4 linked regions of the Elephas maximus indicus genome follow. The protein of the gene in region 3 binds, or shares a complex with, the protein of the main gene of each other region. Links are inferred from orthologs where the notes say so. Each region holds a gene or a part of one and is shown on either strand. Other genes may lie near its edges.

Region 1 (7,045 bases), on a different chromosome or scaffold from region 3:
CTGGCAATCTCTCCTTCTTAGACATCTTCAGAATACATCCCCCTTTGTCTAGCCCTCCTCTCATCACCCCAGCCTATCCTATCACTATCTCTCACCTGGGACATCCTAACAGGACTCCCAGCCTCCAATCTTAAACCGTCTGAATCTAGCCAGAGGGGCTTGCTAAAACAGAAATCTGATCAGATCAGTTCCCTGTTTAAAACCCTGCAATGGCCTCCCACTACGTTTAGGATAAAGACTAATCTCCTCAATATCGCTTATAAGACCCTGTCTTTACTTCTCCAGTTTGACAGTTTGCCACTCTCCTCCTTGCTCTCTATGCTGCAGCCATTCTGAACATGCTTTGTGCTCTCATTGCTTCTGCACATGCTGTTCCCTCTGCCTGGGATTATTTCATTCCCACTGGCTTGGCTTACTCCTATTCCTTTAGGTTCCCATTTAGCCATCAGTTTCTCCAGGAAGTGTCACCCTCAGGTCTGAGCTAAGTACCTAACTGTGGAGTTCACAAAACACCCTGAATTCCTCTATTGCTCATACCACTACACGGTTGTGTCCTCAGCCCTTGGCACAGTTCCTGGAATACAGTAAGTACTCATTAATATTTTGTGAGGTAAAGGGGTGAGTCCTCATCAAGCCACCTTTTGATATTAATTTTGCTTCACTCTCTTATAAGGTAGAAAATACAGTCATGTGTCACCTTAACGGCCACGATAAATTCTGTGAAATGGAATGTTACGTGATTTGGACGTTGTGCGAACACCATAATACAAGCAGTCCCTGAGTTACAAATGTCTGACTTATGGACAACTCATACTTAAGAATGGACTGCCATAAAGGCTGTTATATTAAAAATTCAAGTTAAATATAATGGTTCATAATAATGAACGCATGCACTACTTTGTGATGCTCATGAAAACATTATATGGTTTGGAAGTGTTTAAGTATTTTATATGCATAACCCATTGCTGTCAAGTCTATTCTGACTCATAGTGACCCTATAAGACAGAGTACAACTGCCTCATAGGGTTTCCTCAGAATGACTGGTGGATTCCAACAGCCAACTGAACTGCCGACCTTTTGGTTAGCAGTTGAATGCTTAACCACTATAGGGCTCCTTTATATGTAAACCAAACCAAAACCAAACCCGTTGTGGTCGAGTTGATTCCAACTTATAGTGACCCTATAGGACAGGGTAGAACTGCCCCATATGGTTTCCAAGGAGTGGCTGGTGGATTCGAACTGCCGACCTTTTGGTTAGCAGCCATAGCTCTTAACCATTACCCCACCAGCGTTTCCTTCATATGTAGAGAAGGGTAACACATATACTGTTTACTAAGACAAACATTTGACTTACTGATGCTAAATAAAAACCGTATGTACCTGTTTCGACTTACCTACAAACTCAGCTTGGGAACTGGCTGTATATAACTCTATTACAACCAGTGGGGCCATGGATGTGTATGTGGTTGGACGGTGCCCAAATGGACATTATGCAGTGCATGACTGTACAACGATCAGCCAACTTGAGCAGTCTACATTTAGTTTTATTTTTTTTTCTTACACACAACCTCTGCACTGTCAAGAGGGCATAAAAGGCACTGTATCTGGTATACTAGAACATAATCACAGAGTTTTTGATGGGTTAGATTGCCTATCTTTTCTTCATTTCCCAAGAAACACTCTTCATTATCATTGTTGCTGAAGAAAATATCCTATGCCCAGATGCATCAAACTTTTTGCTCTCTAGATGTTTATTTCATACTTGCTATTTCCTTTATCAGGAACTCCTGTTTCTCCTTGGCTAATGGTCTGCTAGTCTTATAAGACTCAGCCCTAGAGCCAACCCCTTTTGAAAACTTTTCCAGAATTTGGTCCAGGGTGAGTGTGGGGCATTCTCTCTATGTTCCTATAGCACTCTTAGCACCCCTATTTTTCGCACTTATTGCATTACAATAGGGGAGCTTTCAGTGAATATTTTACTTACCTCTCCTTTCCCAAAGCCTGAGACAGTACCTGATACAGAAAGAGACACCAAGATTTAAGTCCTGAATTCTCAGCTCTATTAATAACAAGTCAGGTGACCTTGAGTGATCATAAGTGTCAGGAAATTTACTTAGTATATTTATTAATTCTAATCCTTAGTTACCTGCAAAGTGGTAGAGCTGGGATAGTATGACTATACTCCTCAGTATGACTGTGAAGCTGTGTTCTTTCCACCATATCACTAAGGCAAGTCATTGAGTCTCTTTAAGACTGGTTTTGTTACCTCTGAGTGGGAGTGATAATATCCCAAGGAGCAAAGGTTCTAGGTAAATTTTACCAGCCACCTTAACAAAGAAGATAAACTGAATACTTAAAATAACTGAAAACATGTACTCTCTCCTTGATCCTTTTAATAAAAAAAAAAAAGTTTTTTTTTTAATAGTCCCCTAATATTCATGGCTCCCAGAATCTAGACTATCCTCTATCCAAGTTTCCTGATACTGCAACTCCTAGTTGCAAAGGATTACTATTTCTGTTCTTTTCTTTTCCAGGTCATTTCAGAAGTTTCTTCAAATGAATCGAAAAGTAATGTCTGTTTCTGAAATAAAGTACGTGGGTAGGGAGAATCTTCTTGATGCAAAGTACAAAATACCTACTTGAAGCTCTCAGTGACTCATTGTGATGGAGAGGGGGCAAAGCAAAAAAGCCAATTTCAGGAAAAGATTTCAAGGAGGAGTTGGTAGTGGAAAATATAAGGTGGGAAATTTGTTTCTCTACTACTAAACAAGGACACTCCAAAAAAAATAAAAACAAAACAAAACACCAAACCCATTGCCATCAAGTTGATTCGAACTCATAGCAACACCATAGGACACAGTAGAACTGCCCCGTAGGGTGTCCAAGGAGCGGCTGGTGGATTCAAACTGCCTACCTTTTAGTTAGCAGCTGAGCTTTTAACCACTGCACCACCAGGGCTCCAAAAAAAAAAAATTAGGAAAAAAAATCACAGCAAGAAATATATGAGCGGAGCCAGACCACCAGATAAACCCCTGCAACCCACTTTTCCATGGTGTCACGTTAAAGAGCACATTTAAACATGAACCTTTGCTGACTCTGTCAAGAATCTTCAAAATGCAATCGTTTCTGCAGTAGAATTCACTGAAACCTGGGGCAAGGGTCACAGAATGAACTTTCAATCTCCTAGAAGTGTACACTACGTACCTGGTGGGTGCACCGAAAGAGATGAGAACAAGAGTGAAGGCAGGGAGGGGCGGGGCCAGAGAAGCGGAGGCTCCGCTGTAAAGCGGCGAGGCCGGGGGTGATAGCCCAGGGGTGACGGCCCAGGGGGTGATGGGCCAGGGGTGTTGGCCCAGGGCTGGATCTGGGACAAGGGAGAGTACAAAGTGAGGGGTGGGGAGGACAGGGCCGTACGGGTCGGGTGTGAACTCCAGGGTCAGTCAAGAGGGGTCTCGGCCAGGAAAACGGTCCCACCCGAGGTTGGCTTAGAGCGTGCGCGGAAAGGATCCAATTCCTAGCTTCGCGATCCCTCGGCGGCACCCTCACTCGCCTGCAGGATCCGGGCCCGCACTGCTGCCGCTGCTACCACCGCCGCCATGGCTCCTCGCCGCCTCTTCGCCACTACTGCCTCAGAGGTCCCCAGCAGCGCCGCCGCTGCCAGGACCCGCCCCTCCATCCTGCCGGACCTCTTCATTTGCAGAGAAGACCATTCCCCTTAGCCAATCAGTCGCCCTCATTCCCAGCTGGGGATGTGTGATTGGCAGAAGTGGAAGAGCTCTTGCCCCCTCCCACCTCAGCAAATTCTATTGGCGGATGTAGGGAAGACGCCCCCGTGACTTGGGCGCTCTAAAAGGAGACGCCCCCTAATCCGGAACTCCGATTGGCCACAGGCATGACCACGGGCCGCCCCCTCCCCTCACTGAGGAAGGTAAATAAGATCTTCCAAGAACTTTGTAGTCGCCCCTCCTCAACAACAGCGTTAGGGGGTGTGGCTAGCACCGAGGGGGCGGGGCTAGGCAAAGATCGCCCTACGCGGCGGCGAAACAAGACCCGGCCGCGAGTTGGGGATAGGGTTCCCCGTTCGGGGCGGGGCTTGGGGACTCCTGCTTTCCCGCCGACGGTTGGCCACGTCACGTGACATGGGTTGGAAGATGGCGTCTCCCACAGACGGTAAGAGCCGGCTTAGAGTCTCCGCCTGCCACCTACCTCTTTCATTGCTCCTGAGAATTTCCACTGTCCGTCTGCCCTTAGAATTTACACTTCTTTCTTGGGCCCCTCTCTTTTACTTTACTACTTCTTTTCCTTGGGATGCGTCCCTTTCGTCAGCTCGCCGGTTCTTCACCGAGGCTCCGGAGGTGCCAGTTTCCCCGCAGAAGGGCGGGGTCGCTCCGGCTCTCCATTAGCTCTATGCGGGTGAGGCTGAGGGCCGAGGAGAGGTACCTTTTACTGTAGTTTTCTCGGGGCACCCCATTGAAGGGTCGGTTCTCTTCTCATTGAGCATCCCGAGCGAGTCTCTGAAGCCCTAGGTGGGGTTGGTAGCTGACCTCATCCCGGGACTGAGTCGCAAAAGAGAAACGTGATTCTCTCCCGTTCCCTCAGATTGGGACAGTTGCTCCGGTGGCAAGAAAAGCCGGGGACCTTCTTGGCCCCTCGCCATTAAAGTCCTGAGGAGAATGCGAATTGAGCTATTTGGTGTGGTTTTGCACACGTCGCAGCCTCTCTTCATCTGTAGGTATTATTGGTTCCTCACGCCGAGTAAATGAACAGTTGTTTCTGTTTATGTGTTGTCTAAGATGCAGGTCATCTCAGGTAGCAGTTTTGTGGTTTTTTCATACCCACATGCTTTTGCGTTGGTTCTGCTTAAGAGAGTTAGGGTCTTGCAGTGATTTGTTGTTGTTGTTGAAAATATACGCAACAACACGTATACCAATTCAGCAATTTCAACATGGGCAGTTCAGTGACACCGATTACATTCTTCAAATTGTGCAGCCGTTCTCATCCTCCTTTTCTGAATTGTCCCTCCTACACTTACGTAAATTCACGTTCTTGCAGAGATTTTTAACTCACTTCATTTTTGCTTTTACCGCCGATTTCACTGAGATGTAGTTTTTCCCTCTCTCACAAACACATTGTGTTTGGAAGGAATCTTGGAAGTTCATGATATTAAGAATGAGAAAATTGAGGCCAGGAGAGAAAGTATGTCGGGTATCTACAATATGAAAGGCACAATGTTAGATTCTTTGGGAGACAAAAAAGATGAACGAAACATGTAAACACTTTTTCAGTTTCAGGTGTCATCGTAGATGTCCCTTCTCAGAGAGGTTTTCCTAGACCGCAGTATGTGGAGTTGCCCCTCTCCACCATTATTCAGCACCTCAGTATACTTCATCCTTCATTGTCAACATAGTTACTCTGTTAATTTTCCTCTTTCTCGCTGAATTATAAATGACAACTCAGTTTTATTCACAGTGGTATCCCAGGGTTTTTAGCACAGTGCTTGGCAGTCGGTAAGCCTTCAATTGATACTTATTGAATGATTATATGTATGCATAAATAATACATTACCTGGTGGAAAATCGTATGTTTTTGAGCACAGGTACCTATTGTATAAGAAATTATGGGTCAGAAGAGAATCTCCTGCCTGGATGCTCTCTTGCTAAAATGTCTTTCTTCTCCCAGAAAAGAGAGGCATTTAAAAAGTCAGCTAAGCGATAGAAGTAGAAATAATTGCTATTAAAATTTTTAGTTTATTACTACCTTGTTTTTATACGTTTTTGAGATTTCAGAGCTGTGTCCCTTTTTTGATAATTCCCTGTCTTAATTTTTTTCTTTCTTAGGCCAGGAAGAGTATTTGAAATTTTTTTTTCCCCCTTTGGTCATCCAACCATCTCTGTGGTTACTTGATTTTTACAAGTTTCCATTCTGATTTCTTACAGAATTCCACCTTTTTCAGCCCTTTTCTTTTTAATCTGACAACATCAAGTTGAACACTTTGAATTTAAATTCTGCTTCTAAATAAGCATTGCGTCAAAAAAAATCCAACTGCCTACAGCTCTCTCATTTCTATTTTTAGTGTTCCACCTGTCTCTGTCTTTAAATTTTAATTCAGATAATGCTGATTTGAAAATAAGTATGTACTGTTTAATCTTTCATCTTTTTAAGTTATACATTTGCTGAGTCTTTGAAAAGAAGAAAGTTGAAATCCAAATAAAGCCATTTAATTACTTATTATGAAAGTAAGAGTCACAGCAGAGTCTGAATAATGCCACAGACTGTAGTGTCATAAAACCACCTTTGATTATTGTGGAACCCACCGCCAATAAGTTTATTTTATTGTGGTTGAGCTTCCCATTAATAATGTTTTTGGGAATTTGAAAGTTTGCATTTTGTGTTACAGCTTTTTTTTTTTAAACCATTTCTGGATGCTTTAGTTAAGGCAATTCATTACATTTGAGCTCTTTACCAATTACAATACCATCAGAAATTCCCCGAAAATATTTGGTTTAGAGAAAAGTACATGTTTAAAAATATTATATATGTGTGTGTATGTATTTGTACATACATTTGTTGTTGTTGTTAGGTGCCATCCAGCCGGTTCCTACTCATAGTGACGCTATATACAGTAGAACAAAACACTACACAGTCCTGTGCCATCCTCACAGTCACTGCCATCTTTGAGGCCACTGTTGCAGCTCCTGTGTCAGTCTGTCTCATTGAGGGTCTTCCTCTTTTTTTTACTGACCCTCAACTTTACCAAGCCTGATGTCCTTCTCCAGGGATTGGTCCCTCCTGATAACATGTCCAAAGTATGTGAGATGATGTCTCCATCCTCGCTTCTAAGAAGCATTCTGGCTGTACTTCCTCTGAGACAGACTTGTTTATTTTTCCAGCAATCAATGGTATACTCAGTATTTGTCACCAACACTGTAATTCAAATGCATCAATTCTTTGGTCTTTCTTATTCATTCCCCAGCTTTCACATGCATATATTAGGTGTTGTTGAGTCAGTTCAGACCCTGTGTACAGCAGAACGAAACACTGCCTG
Region 2 (7,339 bases), on a different chromosome or scaffold from region 3:
TTAAGCTTTATGCAATTTTAATCATATTAAATAGCCACATGTGGCTAAGTCTGCCATTTTGAATAGCACAGCTCTAGACACTGGGAAGCCATCAGAAGTTATATTTCTTTTCTCATTTGTTTTTAAACCAAAGTGTCATGGATTGAATTGTGTCGCCTCAAAAATGTGTGTATCAATTTGGCAGGGCCATGATTCCCTGTATTGTGTGATTTTCCTGTACGTTGTAAATCCCGCTTCTGTGATGTTAATGAGGGAGGATGGACGGCAGTTGTGTTAGTGAGGCAGGGCTCAATCTACAAGATTGGATTGTGTCTTGAGGCAATCTCTTGAGATATAAAAGAGAGAAGCAAGAAGAGAGACAGCGGGACCTTATACCACCAAGAAAGTAGTGCTGGAAGCAGAGCGCGTCCTTTGAACCTGGGGTCTCTGCTCAGAGAAGCTCCTAGTCCGGAGGAAGACTGATGAGAAGGCTGACAGAAAAAGAAAGCCTTCTCCTAGAGCCGACACCCCGAATTTGAACTTTTAGCCTACTTTACTGTGAAGAAATACATTTCTCTTTGTTAAAGCCATCCACTTGTGGTTTTCTGTTATAGCAGCACTAAATAACCAAGACATAAGGGAATGACATGTGTTTTAGAAAAACACTGGAAGCAGTGTGGGCATTTGGATGGTGAAATAGAGGCAAGAATAGAAAATTGCTTTCAATTCTGTATGATGATGTCTTTAACAAGGGTGGAGAGCATAGGAGGATGAGCTGGTTTGGGAAGGTAGACCAAGGATTGAATAGTGTAGAAGTTGCATTTGAGATTGTGGGATGTCTGGGTAGAGATGGGCAGTAGGCCGTTGAAAATAAGAGTTTAGAGCAGAGCAGAACAGAGAAGGCCAGAGCTTTAATTTTTTGTAATCATCTACACAGAAGTGATAGTTAAGTCATAGAAGTGGGAGTGTAGATCTTGAAGAAAAGAGCATCAAGGACAGAACCTTGAAAAATGTCTACATTTACAGCATAGAATGAAGAAGAGGAGTGAGCAAAGCAAAGTTACTTACTGTGTGATGTTTTTGAGAAACAAAGTCTTATCCATGGAAGTGGTGATAGGAATTCATTGCCTTAGTTATAGCGCTCATCAAGAAGATCAGACATTTTCCTTGAAAATGTTAGCAAGTATAGGCAGGACGTCACTGATTTCTGCTCCGTCATATGGGTCTGGTAGATAGTTATATTTAGCAACTATGGGCAAAAAAAAAAAAAAAACTTCATTAAGCTATCATAGTGTCATTTTTGCCTATAGGAATATTTTGTTAATATTTGCTCATGTTGCTAAAACACATAGCAAACTCCAGTCAAAATAACTCAGCTTATAAAGTCAGGGGAAAGAATGCCTAGGCACGTTTGGTGTTTTCGAGATAATCAATAGTTGGAATGAATGTGTTGCTTAAAGTGGAGTCCCTTATTGGTGCAAATGGTTGACATGCTCGGTTGAGAGCCTGAGGTTCAAATTCACCCAGAGGTGCCTCAGAAGAAAGGCCTGGCAATCTACTTCTGAGAATTCAGCCATTAAAACTCTATAGCGCAAAAAACAAAAGAGAAAGAAAAGAAAACCCTGTGGAGCATAGTTCTGCTCTAACATACGTGGGATCTGACATGACATGAATTAGAGTTGTGTCTTAGGCTGGGTTCTCTAGAGACGCAAAACCAGTAAAGTGTATAAATGTATACAGAGAGATCTATATCAAGGAAACAGCAGTGTGAGTGAAGAATTTGGGACTGGAGAGGGGTCATCAGGAAGGAAGGCAAGCAGGGAGAACGGAAATAGGTGGAGGGATAGAGATAGCCTGAGGGTCAGATCTATAGAGTAGGCAGTAGGGAGCAGGTCAGTTTGCTGTCTCAGTGCCTGATACGTAAGTGGTGCTCCGTAAGTATCTGTTGAAGGAAGGAATGAGTGGTGGTTAAAAAAACAGTTGCCGTTGAGTCTCTTCCGACTCATGGAGACCCTGTGTATATCAGTGTAGAACTGTGATCTATAGGGTTTTCTTTTTTTATATTTATTTTATTTTTTGTTGTTGTTGAGAATATACACAGCAGAACATACAATTTCTACATGTACAATTCAGTGACACTGATTATTCTTTGAGTTGTACAACCGTTCTCACCCTCGTTTTCTGAGTTGTTTCTCCCTCATTAATACAAACTCACTGCCTCCCCAAGTTTCCTATCTAATCTTTCAAGTTCTTGTTTTTAGTTTGATCCCATATAGATAGATCTTCAAAGAGGACAGTGCTCAGGCAGGCATTCTTTACTATTTAAGCTAAACTATTGTTTGGTTTTAAAAAGACTTAAGGGGATATTTTTGGTTTAAGGTTTAAAGATTATCTCAGGGGTTCATCCAGGCTTCATGGCTCCAGAAAGCCTAGATTTCATGAGAATTTTAAATTCTGTGCCACATTTCCCCTCTTTTGATCAGGATTCTTCTAGAGAATCTTTGATCAAAATGTTCAGTAATGGCAGCCAAGCTCCATCCAGTTCTGGGTCTCATGGCAAAGGAGGCAGTTGTTCCACAGGGTTTTCAGTGGCTAATTTTTTGGAATTAGATTGCTAGACCTTGCCTCCAAAGCACCTCTGGTGGACTTGAACCTCCTAGCCTTTGGTTAGCACCTGAGCATGTTGTTTGCACCACCCAGGGACTCTGGCTTGTAGTTAGAGAGAAGAAAAATTATTCCTACGGGAACAGTGGAATCCTACTTTGGCCCCACCCATTTAACGACTCTTGACCTCAGTCATTTCATTTCTTCCTGAAATGTTACGTGAAAGGTTATGTTAGAACAAATACTAAATGTGTGAACTTGTAATCGCTGTCCAGCTCTCCAAAGTATGGTGAGTGTACTTGGGTACCTGAAAGTTTAATTTCCTTTTGTTTTAACAGAGTAGCAAAGTAGACATGACCATAGCTAGCCCCTGAATATCCTGGTCTTGGGTGACATGGGCGAGCATTTCTCATCTGACAGGTAGAGGTGTGCAGTTCTTTTCTCTACCTGGCTGCTGGTAGGAGATCAAGAATGGTGAGAAGCAGGATGGGGCGTTTAAAATTATATATAAACATAAAATATTTTAATACACAAAATTGAGCGGATTCTGTGTAATTTCCAAGTTTCTTTTTTTATTCAAAAGTCTTCCAAAATTTGACTGCTCACAAAAACTTAGTTTGTAGAAGTTTAACCAATTTTCCTTTAAATATTACAGTGATCTCACGCCTGATAGTGGAAAAGGATTTTAGAATCAGAAAAGGTACAGGGCCATATAGGTGGTATTTTTAATTTTGTTTAAACTAGTATATATTTGTTATTGTTGTTAGGTGCTATCAAGCTGATTTCGACTCAGCAACTGTCTCATAGAGGTTTTTTTTTTTTTTACTATAATACAGTAGAACTGCCCCATAGGGTTTTTTTTGACTATAATCTTTGCGGAAGGAGATCTCCAGGTCTTTCTCCCGTGGAGCTGCTGGGTGGGTTTGAACTGTCAACCTTTCGATTAGCAGCCACTTAACTGTTTGTGCCACCAGGGCTCCTTAATATGTTTATAGCCCACTTTAATTTAGACCCTAAACTATATCATTGTTGCTATATCTCTGTATGCATCTAAGTGTAAAAAGCGGTACATAGTCTATTTACAAAAGAAAAGTTTAATTAAGAAAAAGCTCTCTTTGATCTGTTTCATTCAATGTGTATTTATTTAGCTAACAGTCCTGTTTTAGACATTGAATATACAGTACTGAGCAAAGCTCAAAATCCTTGCCCCCGAAAGCTGTTTTCAAATTTAAACCAAACCCATTGCTGTCTAGTTGATTCTGACTCATAGCAACCCTATAGGACAGAGTAGCACTGCCCCATAGGGTTTCAAAGGAACAGCTGGTGGATTCGAACTGCAGCCTTTTGGTTAGCAGCCGAGCTCTTAACCACTGAGCCTCCAGGGCTGCATTTTCCAATTAGGTGGTAACTCATCAAAAAAGGAAAGGTACCTTACTCACTAGAAACGCTGTTCATAGAGGGAGCTGAGACGTAAGGTAATAAGCCCACTGAAGTCAGGGGTTTTTGTTTGGCTTTTGTCTGTTGTGTTCACTGCTATATCCCTAGAGCCCAAAACAGTGCTTGACTCATAAAAGGCATTCAGTAAATATATGCCATTGATCCAAGTGTTTATCGTTTTGAATTTGTATGATTATAGGCATTATTTTTACATCTAGCTAGTTAAAAATTTTATGATCTCGGTTACCTTTTAATGTTTGTTCCCTACTTCTTGTTTCTCCTTGTGCCCACGACCAGGATGCAGGGAAAGCTTACTGATATTGATAATTAGTCTTTTGATTATCTGATTTTATAAAGAATAGATTTGGGAAGGAACAGAAGAAGTCAGCTTTGGTTCCACTTCCTGGCTAGAAAAACTGAGATGATTAAGTACATATTTTTAATTAATCATTTTTAAAACTGGGACATTAACTGGGGCTCTCTTGAGAAAATGGAAAAAGGTACTTAGCGTACATAAATAAAGGGGGGAAAAAAAAACGTTGCTGGCGAGTTGATTCCGACTCACAGTGACCCTATAGGACCGAACAGAACTGCCCTATAGGGTTTCCGAGCAGCAGCTAGTGGATTGGAACTGCTGACCTTTGGTTAGCAGCTGAGCTCTTAACCGCTGCGCAGGGTAGTAATCTGAAAATTTTAGAACCTTTAACTGTGTGAGAAAGTAAACACACACAGAGACACACACAGACACAGACATGGACACGGACACACACAGACACAGACACAGACACACACACACACACGACTAAGCTGCTCTTTGTTGATATCAGAAATGGGCCTGTCATTCATTTTGGCATTGAAGCGTAGCCTCCTATCTCAGGGGGCAGGACCAGGTTTTTTTTTTTTTTCCTCTCTCTCTCCCTCTCAGAAGAGCCGGACAGTTATTTCAGGTTCAAAAAGCTTTGACCAACTTTTCAAGAGTTTCTTCCCATTTTTATTCGTGTAACTCTCGGTGCTTTTGCTCTGCTTTCAAGATGCATTCAGATCTGCTGCTGCGTGACTGCTTCAGAGCCAGCAAATACCCTGAAATGTGTAATTCGAATTTTTCAGCTTTCACGAGTAAGTTTAATCTTACTTTTTAGCCAGCTAAAATTCAAGTGATTAAATTCAAGTGATTTTTTTAGAGAAGCGTTAGCTTGGAGTTAGGCATTTCACCATCTCACCCCTTTTATTTTAAACATAATAAAAAAAAAAGAACTTTAGTAAGAAAGCAAGGTCCAACATAGAAAGGCTCCTTAAAAAAGCCCCTTTCGGTCTCTTAGGACCTGTGTTTCCAGTTTCTTTTGAAGTCTCTTTGTTACGTTAGGCAGTATTTAGAGGTCTTTTAAAAGCCAATAGCTAGTTTTCTTGAGCATCTTTTTTCTTTTTACTGAGGAGTATTTTAAATGGATCTTTTCTGAGCTCGATTGCTTATGTCTGACACAGTCTCAAGTTTCCACTGAATGGTAACAAAGACTGTAGAGTGTTGTTGGTACTGCAGTGAGAGGCATGCTTCCTTAGACCAGGTAAGAGAGAGCATTTTGTTTCTTAGTGCTGGGTGAGTTTTTACAGCGTTTGCTTTCTGTTCTTTAAACAGCAGCAATGGTAAATGGGTAAATAGCTAAGAGCACGCTGAAATCAAGACGTCCTTGCTTGTTGCAGACAGGGAAACTACAGGGCATGGGGGTTGGGGTGGGCTGGGGGGGAGGGGTAGAGTTAGTTTATCACTCAGTTACTTACCTAAATTCATTAAAATGTGAAAATAATTCTAGAGTTCAGTGTTTTTCATTCAAGAGCTACAGAAACATTTGAGGACGGGAATAATTTGAAAGGTACTTTGTGATTTTTAACTTCTGAAAGCAATTCAAATGATTTTTACTTCCATTTCTTTCTAGCAGTTAATAAACTTTACCCTTAACTATACATTTTTTTTTTTTTTTATGGAGAATTTAAATTGTCAACAGCCAAATAGGCTTCCTCGGGATCTTGAGGGATAAACCTGACACTTGAAAAATATTTCAGATTTTATAGCTGTTTCATGCCTTTTTTTTTTTCCACCTAGAACATTTTTCTTAAAACTATTTGTGCTTTGAAAATGTCAGCTGTATTCTAATGAAGCTCAGGCATTGTTTGCTCATAAAGGGACTGGTGCATTCCACTGCTTTATGGTTTATTATGAGGCAGTGTGAGGGTGTGGGTGGCACCATTTGGTGTCTGCCTCTCGGGGCAGTGACTGCCATTATGTTAGCTTTGGGCTGGCAAAGAAAATATAGCATGCAAGATTCTATATGCATCTGGATCCCGTAAAGAAAAAACTCTAAGCAGTTCTGAGTGAGCCGGGAATGTGTGACAACTTGATTGAGTTGATCACTTCAAGTATACACTTTTCAAGTCTGCATTTTAGTGACAATGGAACATCGGTCACCTTTCTTGTTTTTTGATGTGTATGGAACTTAGCCATTCTATGCGCTTTAATTAAAAAAGTGAATCTTTCTAGATCAACGGTGACATTGTATAGATCCAGCACAATCTGAAATAATTTTAATACATTTACTTTAGAACAAGTTTTAAGGAACTTGGTGTGGGGGGGGGGGAGTGGAAGGGGGAGATCAGGGGGAGAGCCTTCCTTTCAGGCAGGAAAGCCCTGATGAAGAAAGAGCAACAGATGTTTCTTCTGTTACAATTGAGGTTGTTTCATTCAAAACACAGTAGCTGGAATGGGGAGGGGAGGTCATAAATCTGACTTAATCAGTGAATCAACAAAGCTTAGTCTTTTAAAATTTCTTTTTTTATACTCAGGATTTGAACATCAGTATTAGAGTAACATATTTGGAATAACCAACCCATTGCAGAAACTTTGTTTCCCCCATCTTCAAAAATTGTGTGTAATTAATGCAAAAGTGGGATATTTTATTTTAGACCATTTAACTTAAGGAAAAAAAAATTGAGCATCAGGTTATTGAGAGTATTTTTCAAAAGTTAAGTCATTATAAAATATCTAGGGACTACTCAGAGAATGTAAAAGTTTGTAATCTCGTGATAGTTAGGAAGGCTCAAAATGAATTTGAAAATGTGAAACATCAGTTGTGTATATTGGTAAGTCATTTCATCTTCTATGAGAAGCATGAAACTTATTCCAGAAGATCTTTGAATAAGAAATGTGAAAGAAATATTTTGGGTTTAATTGAAATGCTGTCTTGCTGTTTTGCCTCTCAAAAGATAAGTAAGCTTAGGGTCCTTGCTAATGGAAAAAGGGGAGAGTGATTATCTGCTGCAAAGAGAA
Region 3 (6,849 bases):
CATGAAATGGATGGGGCTAGGAAAGAATTTCTCTGAAAAACACGGGTATGAAATATGACTGACAGTATCTCAATTGTTACTTGCCAAATAGCAGGGGCAAAGCGGGTCACTCTATGGGAGAAAGAGCCATTAAAAAAATAAAAAAGACAACATTTTTAATTGTTAGAAAACTGGTCTGGTCCATATGCTTAAATGTGACCGTCCATACCCCAACAAGTTATAGACTATGACCTAACACACAGATCTAAAATGCAGAATAAAATGCCAATGCTCAGCCTCCTTAAAGAAACGTACAACTCCATAAACTGCTAAACATCATCTGGTGTTGACCAACCAGAGTGGATAGGTTAACTATTAAATCAAGAAATCAAGATATTTGCTAGCGGTTCCTTTAGGCCTCGGCAGCAGCCTTAGGTATAAGAGCAAATTTGAGCCTTCTTAACACCCAAAGAATACTGTTGATGTCATTATGAGGCTACTGATTCTTTGCACTACAGACAAGTCATTAGTTGATCCACAACACAAATGTCCCCTCCCCCCCCAAGAAGAGATTTCAAGGCAGAGAGGCCCTCGGGTACCCCTTCTTCTCTACCTCCAGCGGCTGCCGCTTTCTCCTCCCTCCGGCTCCAAGGTGGGGGCTCCAGAAGGTCCCGGGCAATTCCGAGCCCGGGCGGTGCTTGTTTTGCCTCTGCCAGATAGCTCGGGCCAGCCGCTTCCTTTCTCAGTTTGCCCAAACTGGAGCGCTACAGGGTACCCAGAGACCGGTAAGGGAGCCGTGTGGCGACGCCGCCGCAGCCGCCGCCTCTGGTATGTCAGGGGCCGGGATTGTATTTCGAAAGATCCGCCATTTTCACCTCGTCATCACCATCACAGCTCAGCAGCTTCCCCGACAGCCCCAGCCCGGGCCGCCGCCGCCGCCGCCAGTCACCTCCCCCTTCCTCCTCCTCCCCTCCCAGGTCCTCCCCTCCCGAAAAGCACACACCCACATATCCGGGGAAACCTCCCGCCGGCCCCGCCAACCTTCAAATGCACACGGGAGACACAAATGTACACACAGCCTACGCAAAGACCTTTCACCCCAGAACGAAAAATGGTGCTCCTGCCAGCCCCGCAGAGCTGCGAAAGGAAGCCCCGCCATCTGCGGGGTCCCAAGTCAGGCATATTTTTATTTGAAGAGCAAACGCAATGCGGAGGGTGGCATAAAGACAGTAAGGGATCTAAACTCTTTCATTTTCGGAAAAACAACTGGAGACAGATGATGGAATGCGTTTCACTATGTCCGTATCAGACACTGAAGACATTATCGAGACCTTTAACGTCACTCACCTACTCTTGACATTTTACTCCACCGTCAGAACTACCTTGACAGAATGAGTTATTTCCATATGCCTGTTTGACCTCTCTGATACCTGCTTTTTAAATTACAGGTACTGATCCTCATGTAACTACTGTGGTCAAAACAGTTTTTTTTTTTTTTTAAATAAAGATTTCAACACACAGTCTGACAAACAGACTCCAAACTACTTTCCTCTTCACTTAATTTTATCTGATAATTTCTGTCCAGGAACATCGTGACTTTCGATTTGTCATTAGTTTAAGACGTCAAAGTGCAACTAAGCTTAAAATGTATTGATTCAATTATGGAAATAAATGCATGAATGATCAATTTCTAAAAATATAGAAAATATAGCTCTAAACTAAAATTCTTTGTCAAACTTTTTTAGGATCCAAGTCACCAAATTAAAAAACCATCTGCCGCTGACATATTTGTTCAATACAGTGAAAATAAACAGCTTGCTTTGGAACAAGACCCCAGAGTTACCACCCACCCCCACTAGCGCCTCCCATCATGCAGTTTCATAAGTAACTAAAACAGAACATAGACAGGTATTTTTTTAATCATCTTAGAAGTAACAAGAAAGCATAGGCTACAGGGCTTCTAATGAAACGAGCATAAAAAAAGAAAACTAAACTGACCACCTTCGTCAATTTCAGGAAAAATTTGGTAATCATCCATTCAAAGGCTGAAATTCATACCATTCAACTACAACCTAAGATCTAGAAGACCTATCTGAAACGAGTAAATTGAAATTTAGGGTTGAAAATTAGGCCACTCTACTACCTTTTTTAAAAGTTCGTTTAAGAAAAGTGAGGTAGATGTTGAATAAATCATTTCATTTCCCTACCTTGCTTGCATGGCAACTCCGTATAAAAGTCGGTAGATTCCAGCTTCAACAAGTGCTGTCCACCAACCCAGCCCAATCGCCGTTTTTAATACGCAGCCTGCTAGACGCTGAGAGTGTAAAGTCTCCCTAGTTTCTTTATCTTTAAACTTTATGGCCCCACCGGCTGTCCGGGCCACCCGCACTCCGCTTGGTTGTTTACCGTTGCCTGGCCAAGCTGAGTCCCAGTCTGCTCCCTTCCCCCATGCACCTCGGGAACATTATGACATTTGGCTGGTGGGCTTCGCGAGGAAAACGGACACACAGGAAGAAGGTGGCATACAAAGGAGCATAGGAAGAATGGGGTGGCGGGCAGCAGAGAAAGGAGGGGCCGGTACAAAATGACACAGCAGCAAAACTGGTTCCCAGAAACCCGGGGCCGACACGGCCGGCTTCTCTAGCCGCGCTGTGTCAACAGCCACCGGAGCCCTTCCTCCAGGCTGCCGGGAACGGTAGCCGGCCGGTTGAGTGCCGGCCCTGCCGGGTGACAGCCGCCCTCCTGGGCGCCGGCGGAAAGGGGCTGAGACCCGAGGACCCTTCCGCAGGGATGGGGCGCCGCGGCCCACAGCCGGCAAGTTCCCGCTCCCCGCCCGGGCTCTCAGAGGGGGCGGTCCGGCGCCCTTCGCCCCCGCCGTTTCCCGCAGCCGGGGCCGGCGCTCCCTTCCCGCCCTCCGGCTCAAAAGCCCCCATCTCGGGGGCTGACGCTCACCAAAGCCGGCGGCGCCGCCGCCTCCTCCTCGCGCCGCGCTCCCTGGGCTCCCAGTAGCCGCGGCGGCGGCGGCGCCTCCGAGACACAGACCCGGGTTTGTTCAAAATCACGCGCCCAGCGCCATTCCACCGCCGCATCCCATAATACGCTGGGCCCTCCCCGCCCGCGCGCCCCTCTTCGCCCGCCCCTCCACTTCGTCCGCCCCGCCTTCCCGGTCGGCTTCCTTCGCCCCGCCCCTTCCGCGAAGCCTGGCCCCGCCCCTTGGCAACCCAAGGTCGCGTCATTCCGCAAGGCGCCGTGAGTACGCTCCAACTCCACGTGACTCCAAGTGGTTTCTCTGTCAAATCTTTCGCATGGAATGTTCCATCAGGCTGCGGTTGGGAGGGGAAGGTCAGGGTTTGTGCCAGCTGTTGGAAGAGACTCCCTCTTTTTCTAGCTTTCCTTGTAAGGAAGTCCGTGATGTAGGTGCGATTTCCAGCATCTTGCCACTTTTTGATGTGCTTGGGGGAGAATGGGGAGGATCAATATTTACAAATGCCAAATCTCGTCGTTTTTTCAGTACTAATTTTTCAGAGATCGATAAAAAGCCGCAGAGACACTACACAGACTTAAAGTTATTTCGAAAGGAACTTTTTGCTTTTTTGCAGTATATGGCTAAGATTAACACGATCAAAATTCTTCGTATTCATTCACCTTTCCCTTTTATTTTTCTCGGTACCCCTTATTATAAAAGAAAAAATACCCAAATTTGGAGTCTGATAATCAAACAGGGACTGAGCGATTATTCAGTTAATAACTGCTCGGTGTGAGACAAGAAGCACACAGATGAAACAGTAGAAAACACGAGAGTGTAATGAAATGTTAAATGTTGTGGTACAGTCTATATAACTACTCCTGGGGCATGTAGTACGCACAGGGCAAAGTGACAGGCAGTAGACAGGGAACACAATGGAGGAGGTGAGACACGTAGTGGAAGCAGCAATCACTTTGGCATCAAGCAATCTTGGTTTAAATTCTGGCGCCTCAACTTTTTAGTGTATCATGTTCATCAAGTTTCTTTTCCCAGCCATAAAATATAAATAACAAAACTTCCCAGGATTCTGAGGGTATTCTGAGGTATGTCAAACAGCTACACAGTCCTGTGTCAGATGTTAATTCCTTTTCTACCACAGTCACCACCACCCTATACCACCCATCCCAAACTCAATTTTTAGGATTTAGCAAGACCAGTGGCATGAACTTAGCAAAGGCCTGGAAGTGGGAAGATCTGTGGCAAGTGCAAGAAATGTAAGAAAGTTGAATGATACACAGGCGTGGTTGGGAATCAACAGTAAGGTAAGCTCAGTTTATGAGGAACCTTCAAAGCTAGTGAGAAAAGCTTCATGATCACAGACATTATTAAACATTTTTCAGGGTGTCCTTGCTAAATGCAATTAAATAAGAAAAATAAGAGGTATAAATACTGAAAAAAAAAAGAGATAAATGATCCACATTAAAAGTAATCACAAAGAGCTCAGTGTTATTTTAAGTTCATGGCCTTGGGTGCTAGACCAATTGGGCCCTGTCTTAGTTACCTAGTGCTGCTATAACAGAAATACCACAAGTGGATGGCTTTAACAAAGAGAAATTTACTCTCTCACAGTCTAGGCTAGAAGTCCTAATTGAGGGTGCCAGCTCCAGGGAAGGGCTTTCTTTCTCTGTTGGTTCTGGGGGAAGGTCCCTGTCATCAGTCTTCCCCTGGCCTAGGAGCTTCTCAGAGCAGGGACCCTGGGTCCAAAAGATACACCCCGCTCCTACTGCTTCTTTCTTAGTGGTATGAGATCCCTCTCTCTGCTTGCTTCTCTTTCCTTTTATCTCTTGTAAGATAAAAGGTGATACAGGCCACACCCCAGGGAAGGTCTCCTTAGGTCATATCAGGAATGTGACCTGAGTAAGGGTGTCCTATCCTACCCTAATCCTCTTTAACACATGCTAATCTTTCCTCATTAACCACAAGAAGAAACTGGGATTTACAACACATAGCAAAATCACATCAGGTCACAAAATGGTGGACAACCACACAATACTGGAAATCATGGCCTAACCAAGTTGATACACATTTTGGGGAAGACTGAATTCAATCTGTAACAGGGCCAAATCCTGTCCCTGTCACTTAATAGCTCTGTGAAGTTAGGCAAGTTACTTTCCTCTTGTTTAAGTTTTTTCCTCTCTAAATTGGGAATAATACATATATCATTAGGTTGTTGTGAAGATTTATGAGGTAATATGTGTAAAAAACTTAGAATAGTGCCTGGCATATAGTAAGCATTCACTGACTGAAAGCTATTAATCAAAACTACAATACAGTCTAAAATATAATCTTCTACTTTATCAAAGAAAGCATTTTAGCTCCTAAGAGTCACTGCTATTCAAACATCTATATTGCAAAAGAAAAAAAAAAAAAAGAAGAAGTACAAAATGGCATCACATACTTTAGGAGAGAGTGGTTAATACAGCAAGGGAATGTAGAGTGTAATATGGTTGCAATTTTGGAGTCAGGGATTTTTTTTTTTTTCCATATTTTTGATCTTGCAACAAAGTGGTTACTCAATCTCCCCAATTAATAAAACTAAACATTTTGCTTAGACAAAAAAAAAAATCTGTATTTCAAAAGAGACACTTAGCTGTATATTTACATGGATGGCTTTTTCAAATTGTCTAAGAACATTTATTTAGCAAACATTTCTTGATTGTTGAATCCCAGGCAGTGTGCTAGAGACTAGGAACACAGTAAACGAGACAGTACAGCTCTGTCCAGTGGAACTTTCTGTAATGGTGGAAATGTTCTACATCTACACTATCTGATACAGCCACCACTGGATACATGTAGCTATCAAGCACTTGAAATGTGGCTAATGCAACTGAGGAACTACGTTATTAATTATTTTTACGTAAACTAATTTTAAGTTAAATAACCATGTGTACCTAATGACTACCATATTGGACAACACAGTTCTAGAGGAAGTGGCAAACTATAAACAAGTTGAAAAAAAAACTGAAATATTTAAATAAATAAATACAAGCGGTTTCTGAAGATAATATCGATACAAAAAGAATAATAAAAAGATTGTAGTATGGAGATGTGAAGTGGTGAAAACTATCAAAAAATAAAAGTAAAATTTATTTTTAAGTCCTATAATAAAACAGGTAGACAAAAAAAAAAAAACACCAAACCCAGCGGCATCGAGTCGATTCTGACTCATAGCGACCCTATAGGGCAGAGTAGAACTGTCCCATAGAGTTTCCAAGGAGCGCCTGGCAGACTTGAACTGCCAACCCTTTGGTTAGCAGCGTACGCCACCAGGGTTTCCACCAGGTAGACTGCCAGGTACAAAGTATGCCAATACCAGTTGCAGTTGAGTTGATTTTGACTCATGGTGATCCCACGTGTGTCAGCATAGAATTGTACTCCCTAGGGCTTTCAATGGCTGACTTTTCAGAAAGAGATCGCCAGGTCTTTCTCCTGGGACAACTCTAGCTGGACTCAAACCTCTAACCTTTTGGTTAGCAACTGAGTCCACTAACTGTTTGCACCACCCAGGGACTCCACCAAGTACACTAGTGAATAAAACTTTCTTAAAAACAGGCTAGTTTCCAAAAGAGTATTCACAAAGTTCATATGTTTATTAGTCCATGTTGTTAGAAGTCCAGTATGTCTTTATGCAAGCAAACAACTTGTGTACATCTATAAAAGAGTAATTTTCATCTTTATTTCTTTTTCATCATTATTTATCTCTTTTTACAACAGACCTATAATCTCTTATCAAAAATTTTAAAATCCAAAATGTTTTGAAAACTGAAAGGGTTTTGGAAGCTATGGCAAACTCATTGGGCAGGAAAACCTGGGCCAATATTACATAAGGCTATTCATATACTTTA
Region 4 (7,386 bases), on a different chromosome or scaffold from region 3:
AAAAAAAATTTTTTTTTAATATCTGTAAGCTTATATTAATGTTTAAAAGGCCCAAAGAGAAATAAAGATCCAATTTATAAAGATACTGATAATAAAAGGCAATAATGGCAACAATAACAAAAAAAGGTATTCCACTTAAGTCAGAGCCAACTTAGAATGGAGTGGTAGAAACAGAACAGTAAGTTGGGGACTACCTATATTTATTTTACTCAGAGTCCACACTAGACTAGGCATCAGGTAAACACATTTAATCATACCACCAACCAAATGTGTTAAGTACTATTATCCTCATCTGACAGAGGAGGAGATTGGGGTTGAGAGGTAAGCACTGTTTGCATACTAGCTTTGATCAAGCTACTGTACAATGCAATGCTACAAAGTGAGCAACCCTCTCCTCCAACCTAGTGAGGCAGAAGGTAGAGAGGTTAACCCTTTCAAGACCCAATTACTTTCTCCTTTGAATTTTTTGTTGATACTATGTGCTTTCACTGATGAAGGCATGCTGATTAAAGGATCAATTCAGAATTTTTGTTATGAGTTATGAATTTTGATACCCATTATCTGGGATCCCAGTATCCCAGCTGCCCCTGGAAGACACTAATTCTACCACTATGAGTCAATAATAAAATCTTTTTTTTTTTTAATTTCTTGAAAATTTGCAAAACATGAGGTAAAACATGAAAGCACATGGTAATGACTGCACACACATTTTATTCTAGTCTCACTTTTCTTAGCCTTTGTCGGGGATTGAATTGTGTCCTCCCAAAATATCTGTCAACTTGGGTAGGTCATGATTCCCAGTATTGTATGATTGTCTACCATTCTGTCATCTGATATGATTTCCCTGTGCTGTAAATGCTATCACTATGATGTAATGAGATGGATTAGCCGCAGTTATATTGATGAGATCTCCAAGATTAGATAGTGTCATAAGCCATTTTCTTTTGAGATATAAAAGAGAAACCAAAGAGACATGGGGACCTCATACCACCAAGAAGGAGCATGAGCAGCAGAGCTTATCCTTTGGACCCAAGGTTCCCACACAGAGAAGCTCCTAGGCCACAGGAAAATTCATGACAAGGACCTTCCTCCAGAGTCAACAAAGAAAGCCTTCCCTTGGAGCTGGCGCCCTGCATTTGGACTTTTAGCCTACTAACTGTGAGAAAATAAATTTCTCTTTGTTAAAGCCATCCGCTTGTGGTATAGCAGCACTAGATGACCAAGACGACCTTTTTATTATTTTTCATGAAATTTTTCAAAACATGAACAATGCATTCTTCCTTACTGCAAAAGCAGTATTTACAGCCCAGATAAATAAAACCAAGGGATTTTTTTTAATCTCAGGAAAATTATCACTACAATGCTTTCTTCCTTATGGCAAAAGCAGTGCTTAGAATAAAAATAAAGGGATTTGAATCTCAGGAAAATTACTGCTAATATGTATGCTTCATTATAACAAACATAGTACGAACAGCTAAGCAGCAGAAACAGCTGCCCTAGAATACAGCAGAACTGCTCACCCTGATGCATTCCATCTGCTACACAGGGAAGCAATTACTGTGCCCTGGAATTGAATACAGGGTGAGAATAACTTATAGGAGTTCCAATCAATCTCTTGAAAAGTACCACTGTCATGTTTTACTCCTTATTGGAAAAGCATTATTTACTGTTCAGAAGCTGGAAAAGAAGGGAACCAGTAACACCTGGAAACAACGAATGGCATAAAGGAGAAAATGGCCACTATGACTAAATGAAGACTGGCAAGAGTTTATTCTCAAGAGAACACAGTAACGGGGAAACACAGTGAAGACGCTTAATTCACAGAAATAAAAGCAAATCTGTCAGAAGTTTTAAAATTTCACACATCTGAAATTATCTACACAAAAATGAGGCTCCCACTCAGGATTTTCGAGTTTCACACATTTCAAAAGGCTCTCACCTTGAGGCTAACACATTAAAATCGGGCTACTCCCTTTCCAAAGAACTCCAGAGGCATAAAAAGTGAGTGGGACACATCATGTCCCACGGGTCTTGGAAGGGTTTTAAAAAGCTGACTCCAATATCTGGCTCCACTAATAGCCCTGTGACGTTGGACACCTCTTTGGCGCTCAGATTTCTCAACTGTGAAATGGGATCAGAGAACGTTTTCAGAGGGTTGTGGAGAGAACTGAGATGGCATATTTAAAGCCCTGAGCAGTATCTTGGAACGCGAATTCACTAAAAAAATTTTTTTTTTTTTTTTTTACCGTATTTGTTTTTACAAATGTACGGGCGGTACCTTTGCGTGTGTGACGCTTGGCGGGCTGGAGGGAGGTCAGGTGTGGAAGCCACGGGTCTAGAAGACCCCTGACTGAAATGTGACCTTGGACAAGCCGCTCCTTTTCTGGGTTTGTTTCCCGCTTCAAAAACTGGGTGGGCTGACTGAGCTACACCCGCCCCTTCAGCTCTGCACTTATTGGCGCCCGGCTGGCAGCGACCCTTCTCGGCGGGGAACTCCCACCACCCCAAAGAGTAGCGGCGGGGCGGGGCGGGGCGGGGGTGGGGCCTGGCCGCTGGCTCACTGCGCCGAGGGTCCGGTCCGGCCGCCCCACCTGCGGCCGCTCACCTCTAGGCTGTAGTTGCCCCGGATGGCGGTGAAGTCGTCCAGGGCTTTGGCCGCGCTCCCCTCGTCCAGGTTCAGCTCTTGGCATAGGGCCTGAAGTGCTTCCCCGGCCGCGGCGACCACCGCCGCCCCCTCCGCGTGGGCCTCGTCCTCGAACATCCCCTCAGGCCCTGCGGGTGGCGCGGTCGCAGCCCCCCGACTCCAACCTCCTTCCCGGGCGCGCTACCCACAACCACCCGCGCCAAAGCGCGCGAAAATCAGCGACACTTTAGCGACGCCTTCTCCATCGTCTCCCTCCGCTTTTCTCTTCAAAAAAGTCCATTTCCTCTCCTGAGCTCCCAGCCACCTTCTCTAGAAATGGGATAACAAAACGGATCTTGGGTCCTGGAAAAATTGTACTTGGCCCTTGAAGGGCAGCGGTGGGCCAGCCAGGGCGGCAAATAGAGAGCGGGGGGGGGGGGGGTCTGCAGCCAGCGCGCGAAGCCTACTGGGAGTTGTAGTCCGCATCCTGCCCTGAAGCTGGCGGCACCGCTCTTACCGGTTTGGGAGGGGTTGGGGTGACATTTATTTAGCGAGAAGCGTCCTCTGCCCCGCCAGTCTTATCAGCCCTGTCTCTGTTGGTGTCCAGAGGCGCCAAACAGCCCATCTTTGACTGAGCTTAGGCACTTGAATTGCGAGATGGAGGCAGTGCCTCCTGGGATGTCTCCAGTGTTGGATGAATGTGCTCTAGACTATCACAGGGCTGGTGAGGCAAGTATATTAAGGGGTATCTCCCCATTCATCATTAAGGAGTCCCTTTTTCAGCTCTCTAGACTTTGGGAACTTTCTCAATAAAGACAGCCATTTCAGGCTTAGGAATACTCTTCAGGTCTTAGAGCTTATCCTTCTGTTCCAACAAAACTTCAGGAAAAGCCAGAGTGATCTTTTTAAAAGGTAAATCAGAGCATGGCACTCCTTTGATTAATATCATTCTGCGAATACCTTTGCTTAAGATAATACCCAAGCTCCTTTCCGTGGCCCACAAGGCCCTATGTAACCTGGCCCGCCTCATCTAGTGCCTTGTACTTCCAGCTTCACTTTGTTTTGGACTCTGGAAAATGCCAAGCTAGTTCTTGCCTCAAAAGGTCTTTCTCATATGCTGACCAAACTGCCTGTCAGCTTTTTGCTTACCTGGCTCCTCTTCACTTCAGTTCAATTAAGTGTCACTTTCTCAGTCCATCCCTGAGCTCTGTGTCTAAAGTAGCTGACTTTCCTTCCTCCCCATACCCTGTTTCATTATCTTCATAGCACCTTATCACTATCTGAAATGATCTTACTTGTTTATTGACCAGCTCTTCCTACTGAAATCTGAGCTGCATGAGAGCAAAAACTTTTATGTTTATCACTGTCGATCCAATATTTAGATTAGTGGTAGGCACTCAGTATTGAAAAAATTACAAAGAGCCCAGTGTTGAGTGGATGAGGGAAAGGAGTCACTGGATCTCATATGCATCACTAAAAGCCTGGACATTACCCTCAAGGCAGTGCAGGTTTTAATGCAGGGAGGTGATGATCAATCTATATTTTGGACAGGTCCCTCTGGCTACCCCATGAATTGGTTGGGGTAGAGACTGGTGGCAGGGAGTCTTCTGGGGAGTGATGCAAAAGTCCAGGCAGGAGATAGTAAGGGGCTGGTTCAGCACAGGAAGGAGCCAGCCTGAGGAGGGGTCTCTAGCCTAGAACTGGAGGAGCCACTGCTGGAGAAGGAAGAGTCCCAATAACACAGGTTTCCATCCAGGCCAAGGGGGTGAAAGTGATACTGTTAATTGGGATGGAAGTGTAAGCAGATGGATGAGATGAGTTCTGGAGTTGTTGAGTCTGGGATGCTTGCGAGAAGTTTAAGCAAGGCCATTGGGTTCCAGAAGGTGTCCCCCTCTCTCTTGGCAGTTTCTCAGTGTTCTACATTCTGCACACATGGAGAGGGATGAGACTTGGGAATCAGCTGCAAACTAGGTCCCAAATTAGCAAAAACTCAAACACCACCCCCCCAAAACTCAAACTCATTCTGAACCACTTGTGTGGTACCTCCAACTCTACTTCTAGGAACTACTAATGCAGCTGACTTCAGGATCACCTCATTATTCTCTGGAAGGAATGTTGGCACACAGTGTGTGCAAGAAGGGTCTCCTCCCATGAATTTGTACCTACTCAGGGTAAGGAGCACTGGTGGTTCAGTGCTTAAGCGCTCAGCTGCTACTCCCCAGTGGCTTCTCTAGGAGAAAAGACCTGTTAGTCTACTCCCATAAATATTTCAGCCTAGGAAATCCTATGGGGCAGTTCTACTCTGTCATACAGGGTTGCTATGAGTCAGAATCAACGGTACATGGCAATAAAAGATTGGTTATGGGCAGTTGGTGTCTATCTCCAGCACCACTGAGTCTGTAGCAGGGGTTATCCCTCTTGCTAACTCCCTTCCTTGGAGTGAATATAGTCAGCAAAGAAATGTCAGGAACAGTGGAGGTGAGATGAAGTTTCTCTTGTAGCAGCTCATTTGTTTTATAATTTATTGCTCTTATATAAGAGAACTTCCAGCTCAGCAGAGAGCTTGGGGAGTGGGGACAGCCTGGACATGAGGACTGGGAATTTTCAGGCTGGACCTAAAGATAAGGGAGCAGGTTGATATCACTCAGGAAGAGAGCTGGCAAGAGAAGAGACCCAAGGATAGAATAGGAACAACAACATTTAAAGGGATGGATGGGCAGAATTTGAGGAGTAAGTGAAAAAGAGATTGGGCCAGAGGGGCATAAAAGCAATAAGTGGTATCTCAAAGGTCAGAAAAGTAGTACTCCATAGTCCAGTGCCACTGAGAACTTCTATAGAGTGAAGAATTCAAAGAAGACTTCATATTATCATTCGTATGCTTCTGGTGACCTTTGCTATAGTAGTTTTCCTTAGCATGGTGGAAGTGGAAGCCAGATTACTGTGGTTGAGGGTCTACTGGGAAGAAGGTCAGAATGTTGAGGTAGGAAGTAGAAACTCTGTAACAAGTTTGGTAGAAGAGAAGCAAAGGAAGGGTATTTTCTAGGATAAGGGAAACTCAGGCATGTGAATAATCAGGGGTAGGACCAGGCTGAGAGAGACTGAAGATAATCAATGTAGCAGGACCCTAGAGAAGGTAGCCAAGCCTGGCTTTCCTCTTCATAGCTCCGGTTTAGAAGGTCATCACTTTACACCTACACTAAGCAGGTCTTGCTAGATGTTCTACTGAGGGGAAAATAGAGGAACACGCAAAAGGGAGTTGAGAGTGGCTTGGAACAATGAGAAAACTCCCTGGGTTTGTCAAATATAAACATCATGGTCAGGATTTTTTGAGGAAAAATGGAGTATAAGTAAGTCTACCTCATGGGGATACTGGCTTTCATAGGTGGTCCTGGACAAGATTACAAGAGATGAGACTCCTCAAGTTCTTTGCCTTTGCTACAATTAGTCAATTTTTGTATCCAGATCTGAACTGCAGAGGGTCATACTGGCCTTGAAAACAAACCAAGATAAGAGGAGACCAGCTGCTCTCAGGAGTTAGAGAGCAGTTGGTCTCCTCTTATCTTGGTTTGTTGTCAAGGCCAGTATCCCCAAACAAAGAAAAGTAGGTACTCATTGCACCATTTTTCATCTTTTCAGTAGTTTAGTTTTCAGTGAATTGCAGGCTATGTACTATAGCCCTTCTCTTCTTCTCTACTGAATTTGATTCTCCTGATCCGTTTCCCACTTCATGCATTCACTAAGGCCTGAAAACTCTTCATTTTTCCATTCCGTAAATGTTTACTGAATTCTTGTGTACAGATGGCGGTGTCAGACCTTGTCTAACTCTAGAGGGAGAGATGACAATCAGCATCAGCCCAAAGATGATTCCCATGAGGTGGAGGTCAGACATACATACCTTCACCACTCTCCAACCTTTTTACCAATCCAAACACCAGCCATCCCTCCATGGCACTCCCTACTTCTCTGCTAGTTTCGATAATTCATTGCAGTGGCCACAAAGAACTCACAGACCATACTCACGAGTATGGGGTTTATTAGTGAAGTAACAGGTTACAATTCAGGATCAAGATCAACTTGGAAATACCAGAAACAACTCAGGATATAATTTTTTTGATCAGGACAGCATCTTCTCAGCCATGCCTGCAAGCAGGCCTCTGCTGCTGTGCCCTGCATGGGCCTGGCCTCTGCTCCGCTGGGGCAAATGTTACAGCTCTTTAGCTCCATTGACATGTGCCCAGAGGCACCCCCACTCCATCAGCAAGCTTCCTGCCTGCAGGTGCTCAGCTCTTTTGTTCTGTTGATGAGGCCACTGCAGACACCTCGCACTGTGGGCTGAGATGCTCACTGCAGCCATCTTGCACCAGTGTCTGGGTTCTCATGCCATTTCCAGTGTTATGGCTGTCACTGTCTCCTGGGTCTAGGAAGTTCTTTGTGCAAGGACCCTGGGTCCAAAGGAGGCGTTCTGCTCCTAGCTTTTCTTCTTCGTAGGATTAGCTCCTTTAAATCTAGCGGCATGGCAAAACTGACTAATCCCCTTGGTGGGCCACAGACACCTTATTTGCATAGTCCCAGCCAATCCCAGGAAGAGTTATACACACTATTTTATAGTGTGTGGGAGTTGCAATTATTTTGTGGGAGTTACAAAGCCATGGCTAGAAGGGCCATATAATAGCAATTTGTTGCACTGCAGCCTGCTATGTGCAAGATACTGATTCTTTCTTTGTCATGACTTTCAGATTTCCCAGACTTTTAACCATTACTGA

The links. The genes of interacting proteins can lie anywhere in the genome.
Region 1: LIN54 (region 3) and LIN52 share a complex: the UniProt entries of both Homo sapiens proteins name them as parts of the DREAM complex. The link is inferred for Elephas maximus indicus from reciprocal best matches to the Homo sapiens genes LIN54 and LIN52.
Region 2: LIN54 (region 3) and TFDP2 share a complex: the UniProt entries of both Homo sapiens proteins name them as parts of the DREAM complex. The link is inferred for Elephas maximus indicus from reciprocal best matches to the Homo sapiens genes LIN54 and TFDP2.
Region 4: LIN54 (region 3) and RBL1 share a complex: the UniProt entries of both Homo sapiens proteins name them as parts of the DREAM complex. The link is inferred for Elephas maximus indicus from reciprocal best matches to the Homo sapiens genes LIN54 and RBL1.

The regions. Positions count from the first base shown.
Region 1 is NC_064828.1:86,789,182-86,796,226, forward strand, and holds the start of LIN52 (protein lin-52 homolog), read left to right. Parts: upstream 1-4,044; 5' UTR 4,045-4,139; coding exon 4,140-4,170; intron 4,171-7,045. Other genes in the region: ALDH6A1 (methylmalonate-semialdehyde dehydrogenase [acylating], mitochondrial), read right to left, coding at 1,985-2,013, 3,205-3,364, 3,551-3,598.
Region 2 is NC_064841.1:17,687,956-17,695,294, forward strand, and holds the start of TFDP2 (transcription factor Dp-2), read left to right. Parts: upstream 1-4,338; 5' UTR 4,339-5,051; coding exon 5,052-5,136; intron 5,137-5,439; exon of another isoform or gene 5,440-5,582; intron 5,583-7,339. UniProt on the Homo sapiens protein: Can stimulate E2F-dependent transcription.
Region 3 is NC_064823.1:73,313,180-73,320,028, reverse strand, and holds the start of LIN54 (protein lin-54 homolog), read right to left. Parts: upstream 3,016-6,849; 5' UTR 2,932-3,015; intron 913-2,931; exon of another isoform or gene 593-912; intron 1-592. UniProt on the Homo sapiens protein: Component of the DREAM complex, a multiprotein complex that can both act as a transcription activator or repressor depending on the context. In G0 phase, the complex binds to more than 800 promoters and is required for repression of E2F target genes.
Region 4 is NC_064843.1:32,489,368-32,496,753, reverse strand, and holds the start of RBL1 (retinoblastoma-like protein 1), read right to left. Parts: upstream 3,002-7,386; 5' UTR 2,762-3,001; coding exon 2,606-2,761; intron 1-2,605. UniProt on the Homo sapiens protein: Key regulator of entry into cell division. Directly involved in heterochromatin formation by maintaining overall chromatin structure and, in particular, that of constitutive heterochromatin by stabilizing histone methylation.